Cricetulus griseus: one gene and its partner. The protein of the gene in region 1 interacts with the protein of each later gene in a pairwise test. Links are inferred from orthologs where the notes say so. Each region holds a gene or a part of one and is shown in the gene's direction. Other genes may lie near its edges.

What was found.
Region 2: the proteins of Hnrnpa1 (region 1) and Hnrnph3 interact in binary tests that used the Homo sapiens proteins (3 or more experiments, as listed by UniProt). The link is inferred for Cricetulus griseus from reciprocal best matches to the Homo sapiens genes HNRNPA1 and HNRNPH3.

The regions. Positions count from the first base shown.
Region 1 is NC_048595.1:399,611,810-399,616,223, forward strand, and holds the start of Hnrnpa1 (heterogeneous nuclear ribonucleoprotein A1), read left to right. Parts: upstream 1-1,311; 5' UTR 1,312-1,454; coding exon 1,455-1,469; intron 1,470-2,022; coding exon 2,023-2,139; intron 2,140-2,374; coding exon 2,375-2,521; intron 2,522-2,665; coding exon 2,666-2,876; intron 2,877-3,275; coding exon 3,276-3,368; intron 3,369-3,455; coding exon 3,456-3,548; intron 3,549-3,703; coding exon 3,704-3,778; intron 3,779-3,980; coding exon 3,981-4,139; intron 4,140-4,414. UniProt on the Homo sapiens protein: Involved in the packaging of pre-mRNA into hnRNP particles, transport of poly(A) mRNA from the nucleus to the cytoplasm and modulation of splice site selection.
Region 2 is NW_023276806.1:273,846,865-273,850,648, forward strand, and holds the end of Hnrnph3 (heterogeneous nuclear ribonucleoprotein H3), read left to right. Parts: coding exon 1-50; intron 51-561; coding exon 562-746; intron 747-1,146; coding exon 1,147-1,233; intron 1,234-1,392; coding exon 1,393-1,508; intron 1,509-2,142; coding exon 2,143-2,278; intron 2,279-2,503; exon of another isoform or gene 2,504-2,529; coding exon 2,530-2,610; exon of another isoform or gene 2,611-2,774; coding exon 2,775-2,867; exon of another isoform or gene 2,868-2,961; coding exon 2,962-3,035; 3' UTR 3,036-3,244; downstream 3,245-3,784.

The DNA.
Region 1 (4,414 bases):
TTTAAGAATTTTCAAAAACTAAAGCCTCCCTCCCTAAGTTCTTCAAAATATCAAGTGAAGGGATCTAAAAGAGCAAGAAAAATGCCAAACTAGAGGGGAACAAGAAAACATGCTTTCGTTAAGGTGATGTAGGGAATGATTGCCTCCACTATAGGAGTCATTGTAGATAAAATATGCACCCCTACAATTCCCTCTGAAGGCAAGATGCCTCTCTTTCAAGGAATCTCTCCATTTACTTGATCCAGGTTTGGTCCATGGATTTAACCTCCCGACTCCCGCGCTCCCCACTGGAGTCCAGCCTCTGCCGCTTGGAGAAGGCCGGCCTATCGCGCGCTTGGAGCTCATTGGCTCTGAGAGACGCCACTCGGGCGGGAAAAGCCCGCCTCCCGCATTCGGATGGCCCAAGGGCCGATCCGTAGGCAGCTATAGGAAGACCCAATTGGCCTATACACTCGTCAGTCAAACGCTCTGGTAGCGCAGCCCAAAAGGACCTGGCAGAATTAAAACATCCCGCCCCCGTTCTCCCATTGGCTGGCCCGACCCATCGCGGCCCCTTCACTGTCGCTCCCCCAAGTCCAGCGGGGCCCATTCATTTCGTACAATAACGAGTCCAATTGGAGCGGGTCCAGGAACTCCCACGGTTAGTCAAGACTCTGCCACTTACCCGGGATCTACAGTGACCACTCACACTAAGGCCTGCGCGGTTCCTCTGTGGTAAAGCTGCACCACAAGCCACCCGCTACCGCCGCCTTCTGCGCAACGCCAGCCGCCCGCCAAAACGGATCCTTTCCCTGCGCCTGCGCAACCAATCCTGGGCCCAGACCTTTTCTCCGCCCAAAACGCCTGCGCAAAGCAGGACGCAGCTCCCGCCAGTACGCAGGCGCCTTAGGTTCACCGCCCTCTCCCGCCCGCCGCCCGCCATTTCACGTGTTCAGTAGGCGAGCGGAACTCCTTAGTGCGCCGGCGTAAACTCGCCATTTTTATTACACATGCGCTCTCCGGGCAGTGGCTGCAAAAGTGGTAGCGAACTACTTTTCCTAACGTGTCGTGTTTTGCCAAGTGAGGTTATAATGTTCGGACGCTGGGAAGTTATGCAAGGCGTTTAAAGACATGGGTACATTCAAATATAAACCACTGGTTAGCTAGTCAATCAACCTGGTTAAAAAAAAAATCCCCCAGAGCGTCGATGACTCCGAAGGGCGGAGACTGCGTAGAACGCCCCAGCAGATGCCATCTCTTAGCAGGGCGGATCCACAGACCTAGAGTGGGCGGGAACAATTCCAGATCTCCAATCAGAGTAAGGCCAGGGCGGAGTCTACCAATGCCGAAAGCGAGGAGGCGGGATAAAAAGGCGAGCCGAAGGTAGGCTGGCGGATACGTTCGTTGACTTACTCCTTTCTGCCTGTTGACGCGGCGGAGGAAGCATCGCTGAAGGCTCTCGTTTCCCTGCCGTCATGTCTAAGTCGGAGGTGAGTTGTGCGCGCTCTGCGGCTTCGTTTCCTTCCATACGCAATGAACAGGACGGGATGCGACCTATTTTTCTGGCTGGCACCCATGCTTTCGGTGTTTGATCGGTCGTTGCCGAGGCCTGCTCACAAAGTGCAGGTCGCCATTTTGTCCTCGTAGTCGCCATGAGGCTGCCGTCCGCTAACCGCTAGTTTCCACACTCGGCTCCTAGTGGCAGAATTCACAGATATGCGACCTTGGGGGTTGTGGCTCTTTTTATTTTCTTTCTTGGCTTTGCCTAACTAACGTCTGCTAAGGCTTCAGTAAGTTTTAATGGCGATTGACCAGTCCAGCCCGTGTCTTTTGTTGCGCGTGCGTATAGAGTAGGGACGCATGCGCTGCATGCTAGTCCTCCCCCCCACGCCCCAACAGCACCTCCTGGCCCAGAGAGGAGCACGTGGTCTTGTGCTGTAATAAAGAACAATAAAAAAGTGCGGCCTATGTTGATGCGTGGAGTTGATCCATTCGCTCAAGTTCCAGCCCCTTAGCTAACGGCTCTCCTTTGATCCGATTCAGTCACCCAAGGAGCCGGAACAGCTGCGGAAGCTCTTCATTGGAGGGCTGAGCTTCGAAACAACCGACGAGAGTCTGAGAAGCCATTTTGAGCAATGGGGAACACTCACCGACTGTGTGGTAAGATTAGAAGGAACAAAAGGCGGGGCTGGTTTAATTTTATTGCTTTAATCATGCCGCACTTCTTACCCAGATGCTTTGTGAAGGTAATTAATGGTATAATTTTAAAAGGATCTTTGTTTGGGGGCCTTATGCTTGAGTCTAAATGGAGTTTTATGCTGGACATGTTCAGAGTTGGAATGGCCTCAGGTCCTGATATCAGGCAATATGTTGATTGAATTAACTCTATAAACAGGTAATGAGAGATCCAAATACGAAGCGATCCAGGGGCTTTGGTTTTGTCACGTACGCTACTGTGGAAGAAGTAGATGCCGCTATGAATGCAAGGCCACACAAGGTGGATGGCAGAGTTGTGGAACCTAAGAGAGCTGTTTCAAGAGAAGTGAGTGTTATTATGCTAATAGTTGGGTTCTCTTTTATCTAGACGCCAGATAGACCCCTAGAGTGCTGGGATTAAAGGCGTGGGCCACCACAGCTGCCAATCATTTGAAATGTACTAATAATGACTGCATCATTTTCCTTTTAGGATTCTCAAAGACCAGGGGCCCACTTAACTGTGAAAAAGATCTTTGTTGGTGGTATTAAAGAGGACACTGAAGAACATCACCTTCGTGATTATTTTGAGCAGTATGGGAAGATTGAAGTGATTGAAATCATGACGGACAGAGGCAGTGGGAAAAAAAGAGGGTTTGCTTTTGTCACCTTTGATGACCATGACTCTGTGGACAAGATTGTTAGTAAGTGTCAGATAATTAGATTTCTCTCCTCCTCCTCCCTCCCCCACAAACTGGGAATATTCTGTAGCTTTGGGTCCTTTCCTGGAAATGAGACCCGCCCTCAAACTCAGATGGCCTGTCTCTGCCTCCTGAATGCTGGGATTTATGGGGTGTTCCACCCCCCAGCCAGATTACATTTTTCTTTTGGGTGGATTCGAGACAGGGTTTCTCTGGCTTTAAAGGCTGTCCTGGAACTAGCTCATGTAGACCAGGCTGGTCTGAAGCTCAGAGATCTGCCTGCCTCTGCCTCCTGAGTGCTGGGATTAAAGGCGTGGGCCACCAACACCCATCGTGCTCAGATTTCTTAATGACTGGGACTCAGTGTGTTTAAAGCCCTAAAGTTAACTTTTTTTTTTTAAGTTCAGAAATACCATACTGTGAATGGCCACAACTGTGAAGTGAGAAAAGCCCTGTCAAAGCAAGAGATGGCCAGTGCTTCATCCAGCCAAAGAGGTATCTCTTGCTTAGTTAGAACTTGCAGAGGGTAGTTGGGTTGTTGCTGCAAGTTGGTCTAATGTAATGATCCAAACATCTCTTAAGGTCGAAGTGGTTCCGGAAACTTTGGTGGTGGTCGTGGAGGTGGTTTTGGCGGCAATGACAACTTTGGTCGAGGGGGAAACTTCAGTGGTCGAGGTGTGTACCTTTTGGATTTCTTAATTGCTTTTGGAACGATGGATAACTGCTAGTCTTTGTTTATAGCATTTAGATTTTACCCAAAACATAAGTTTTCGTTACACAGAGATTAGCATTTGCTTCATTCATATACCTAAAGCTCTGGTTTCTTACAGGTGGCTTCGGTGGTAGCCGTGGTGGTGGTGGATATGGTGGCAGTGGGGATGGCTATAATGGATTTGGTAATGACGGTAAGTTTCTTAAGGAATCCGTAAGTAAAATTTCTAGCAACCTATACCTTTAGACTAGGCTAGTAGACACTAAACCTAGTGCATGACAAAATCAACCAGCCCCGTAATACGCATGCTGTGAGCAGGCCATTAGTCATTACACTTGCATAGATTTTTATTGTTAAATACTTTTGTCTTATTGAGAAGGCTTGTATTCTTGTAGGTGGTTATGGAGGAGGCGGCCCTGGTTACTCTGGAGGAAGCAGAGGCTATGGAAGTGGTGGACAGGGTTATGGAAACCAGGGCAGTGGCTATGGCGGGAGTGGCAGCTATGACAGCTATAACAACGGAGGAGGCGGAGGCGGCTTTGGCGGTGGTAGTGGTAGGTATCCAGTGATGCAAGTACTTGGTGTGATAGCTAGATTAGCCTTAGTTTATACTCCTGTGGACTTTAAAGCTCTTAAAGCATTGTGGGTACACTGCATGGTACATTGAAATAGGCTTGCTGTGCTACCTCCTCCTGGCTTTAAGCTGGGGCCGCCTCCCCCAAAGTAAGTAGGTGGATGAGTGAGTGGTTAGTGGTATCCTTAATAGCAGATAGTTAGATTAATGGTATAGCTGGATTTAGTATCTAAGTTCCTTTGAGACTTCAGGCAT
Region 2 (3,784 bases), on another chromosome or scaffold:
GAGATAGCAGAAAATGCTCTGGGGAAACACAAGGAAAGAATAGGGCACAGGTGGGGATGGAGAGTTTGGGATGGTGTTAAATTTTTATTTTTGGGGGTTGTGGGTCACTATTGCTTAAATGGGGGGGTAACCATAACATTTTTCTGGGGTAGTATTAAAGAATTGATAATTACCTAAATTTAACATGGAAACTACAGATTTGGGTGGGGAAATTAATGCTAATAGTTTAAATTAAACTTAGATTGTTTCCATTTCTTTGTAGGATGTCATTAAATTTTGTATAATCACCTGTTTTTCTTATGTACCTATCTTGTGCTAAAGGAAACAAATTAAAAATATATTCATAATTCAGTGTTTTCAAATTACTCATTTGTCTATGTAAAACTTAAATATTTAATTATTTAAGTTTGTAGGTGTAAAAATGTTACTTATGGTTTATTTAGGCAATTTAAATTGGGTTATGTACCTAGATATAGACAAACTTACTGCATTTTGCCCAGTATCTAATTTACTCTCTAATACATCTATGCTGAAACCTGTACTTTAAACCTTTTTAAATAGGTATATTGAGATCTTCAGGAGTAGCAGGAGTGAAATCAAAGGATTTTATGATCCACCAAGAAGATTGCTGGGACAGCGACCGGGACCATATGATAGACCAATAGGAGGAAGAGGGGGTTATTATGGAGCTGGGCGTGGAAGTATGTATGACAGAATGCGACGAGGAGGTGATGGATATGATGGTGGTATGTGTATCTAATGAACAAAAGGTTCTGTTGTCATTTTCTTGATGTTCCTGACATTTTGTCAAGAAATACAGAAATGGCAGTAATTTCAGTACCTATGAGGTTTTAAAACCTGTTCATGAAATTGTGGGATTTCCACTGTGGAACTTGATTGATGCACATATTAACACCTAGAAATAATGTAGAAATAAAGATAACTGGCATGTTTCTTCTGGGCATAAAGATGACATTTGGTTTTCATGTTGTGTTTGAATTTATTCTGTGGATGTTTACATTTCCATCAAGGGTTAACTGCTTTTCCTTTTCCCATTTGCAGTAAGTTGCAAACATTAATGAAGAAGCTAAAATAATTCACTACAAAATGATTTTTACAAATTGCTTTTTCCTTACATTTGCACAGGCTATGGAGGTTTTGATGACTATGGTGGCTATAATAATTATGGCTATGGAAATGATGGCTTTGATGACAGGATGAGAGATGGAAGAGGTAAACTAAGAATATCATGCCAAAGTAAATTTTACTGTTTCCTTTATAAGGTGCTGGTAGTAACTAGGCAACTTTGATGGGATAATGGAAACTTGTGTCATTGCGCTGGCTTGTTGATTTATATGTACTTATGTGAACCCACAATGGTTTATAATCTAGGCATGGGAGGACATGGCTATGGTGGAGCTGGTGATGCAAGTTCAGGTTTCCATGGTGGTCATTTTGTGCACATGAGAGGGCTGCCTTTTCGTGCAACAGAAAATGATATTGCTAATGTAAGTGGTATATAGTGGGTATTTTTTTATTATTATTATTATTGGCGGGGAGGTCTCACCGTAGCCCAAACGAGACTAGAATTTAGAAATTCTAACTTGACTTTAGGCATAAGGCAGCCACCATGCCTTACCTCTTTTATTTGTTAAGATTCAGGCTAAGATTGTCACTTAGTGATAGATTATTTGCCTAATATACACATAGGTGTTTGTGCCCATTATGTGAGATTTTAAGCAGGTTAAAAAAAAACAAAACAACAAAAAAACCACTCTGTTAAGAATAGAGTCAATCATGTAGGAGTTTGCCTTTAGTAGTAGGGTCTGCAACAATCCCAAACTTGAAGATACTCTTAACTAACCATACTCTGTCATGGAACTGTATTCCCAGTTTCACAGTTTTCATTTAGTTTAGTATTGCCTTACTTTATAAGCAGTAACTGCTTTGCATTTTAAAAAATGCACTCCTTCCCCATGTGAGCCAAGCAGACTGGACCATCTCTGTAGCAAAGGATGACTCAACCTACCTCCACAATACTGGAGCCCTTATAGACCCTCAGTAGTTTATTTTAGTGGAAAGATTAAAAGCATGTGCTAATTTTAAATGACTGGAATTTAAAAATGAGTAACTTTTATTTAGTTCTTCTCACCACTCAATCCAATACGAGTTCATATTGACATTGGAGCCGATGGCAGAGCAACAGGAGAGGCAGATGTAGAGTTTGTGACACATGAAGATGCAGTGGCTGCCATGTCTAAAGATAAAAACAACATGCGTAAGTGGTGTCTTTGGCCTGCTTCTGTTCATAGGTGTGTACAGTTTATACAGTAATTACTGGTTAAAATGTCTGTTAGATCATTTGACCTATTAATAATGTCTAGATTTTAATGGCTGCCTGAAATAGTCCTATATTTTATGGATAAGCCTTCGTTAAATACTAGCTAATCAACTTTGATTAGTACATTTTATCTTTCTCTATTATTCTTACCTTTTTCCACTTTTTTTTTTTTTTTTTTTTTTTTAAAGAACATCGATATATTGAACTCTTCTTGAATTCCACCCCTGGAGGTGGCTCTGGAATGGGAGGCTATGGCAGAGATGGAATGGGTATGTATAGTTTTGTATTGGAGGTGAGGTGGGGACATCTTGCTCTGTAGCCCACGTTGGCCTTGGTGCTTCAATATATCCCTCCCAAACCGGGGTTTATAAACTTTTTAGAATAAGCAGTGTTGGCTAGTTTGGAAACCATCCTGTCACTTTTTAATGTGCAGATAATCAAGGAGGATATGGATCTGTTGGGAGAATGGGAATGGGGAACAACTACAGTGGAGGATATGGCACTCCTGATGGCTTGGGAGGTTATGGTAAGTCTGTATGAGGCAATATCTTTCACTAAAAATACAAATAGTATGATGTGCATGGCCCTCTCCTGATTCATGTTCTTAATGTCTTCTTAAGGTCGTGGTGGTGGAGGTGGTGGTTACTATGGACAAGGTGGAATGAGTGGAGGTGGATGGCGTGGGATGTACTGAGACCACTTCCTCCAACGTACAAGTCCTAACAACATCTGACTTTCTTACAGATTGAATTTCTTTTGTATTTCAAGAACTTTATAATGACTGAAGGAATGTGTTTTCAAAATATTTGGTTAAAGCAACAGATTGTGATGGGAAAATCTGTTTTCTGTAGGTTTTATTTGTTGCATACTTTGACTTAAAATAAATTTTTATATTGAAACCACTGATGTTGCTACTTTTTATATATATAGGTACTCTTAAGGATGTGCTGCCTTCATAAGATTTGGGATGATGTATTTTACTGTTAGCTCTACAAAAAGTAGCATAGTGCAATGTTAGAGGATAAGACTACAAGTCTAAGCAGAGCTTGAGTAGTTAGCTAACTTTCTGTCCTGGACACTGTAAATAAAGTCTAAAGATGCATTCAGGTAGCTTCAGGAATTTAAGTTCAGCTAATTCTGTATTCCCTTTTCAGTCTCATTTATCAAGCATAGCTCTGAATAATTTAAGAGTCATCTGGATTCTAAATAGTCACAATTGTGTTATGAATTATGAACCCAAGGGGTTGGGGAGTATCAGTTGAAATTATAGCCCTAGATTTTAAAATCCTCATAGCACTTGACCAAGATACCAAAAATGTTCCCAAAATTTGAGTTTGTTGGAGTAGCTAAGTCAGTTGATGAAGTCAGAAAGAGCTTGGTTGTGTAAATACACGGGTGTTTACTATAATAAATGTGTTCTTGTGTTTTCACTTTCTCACCCAA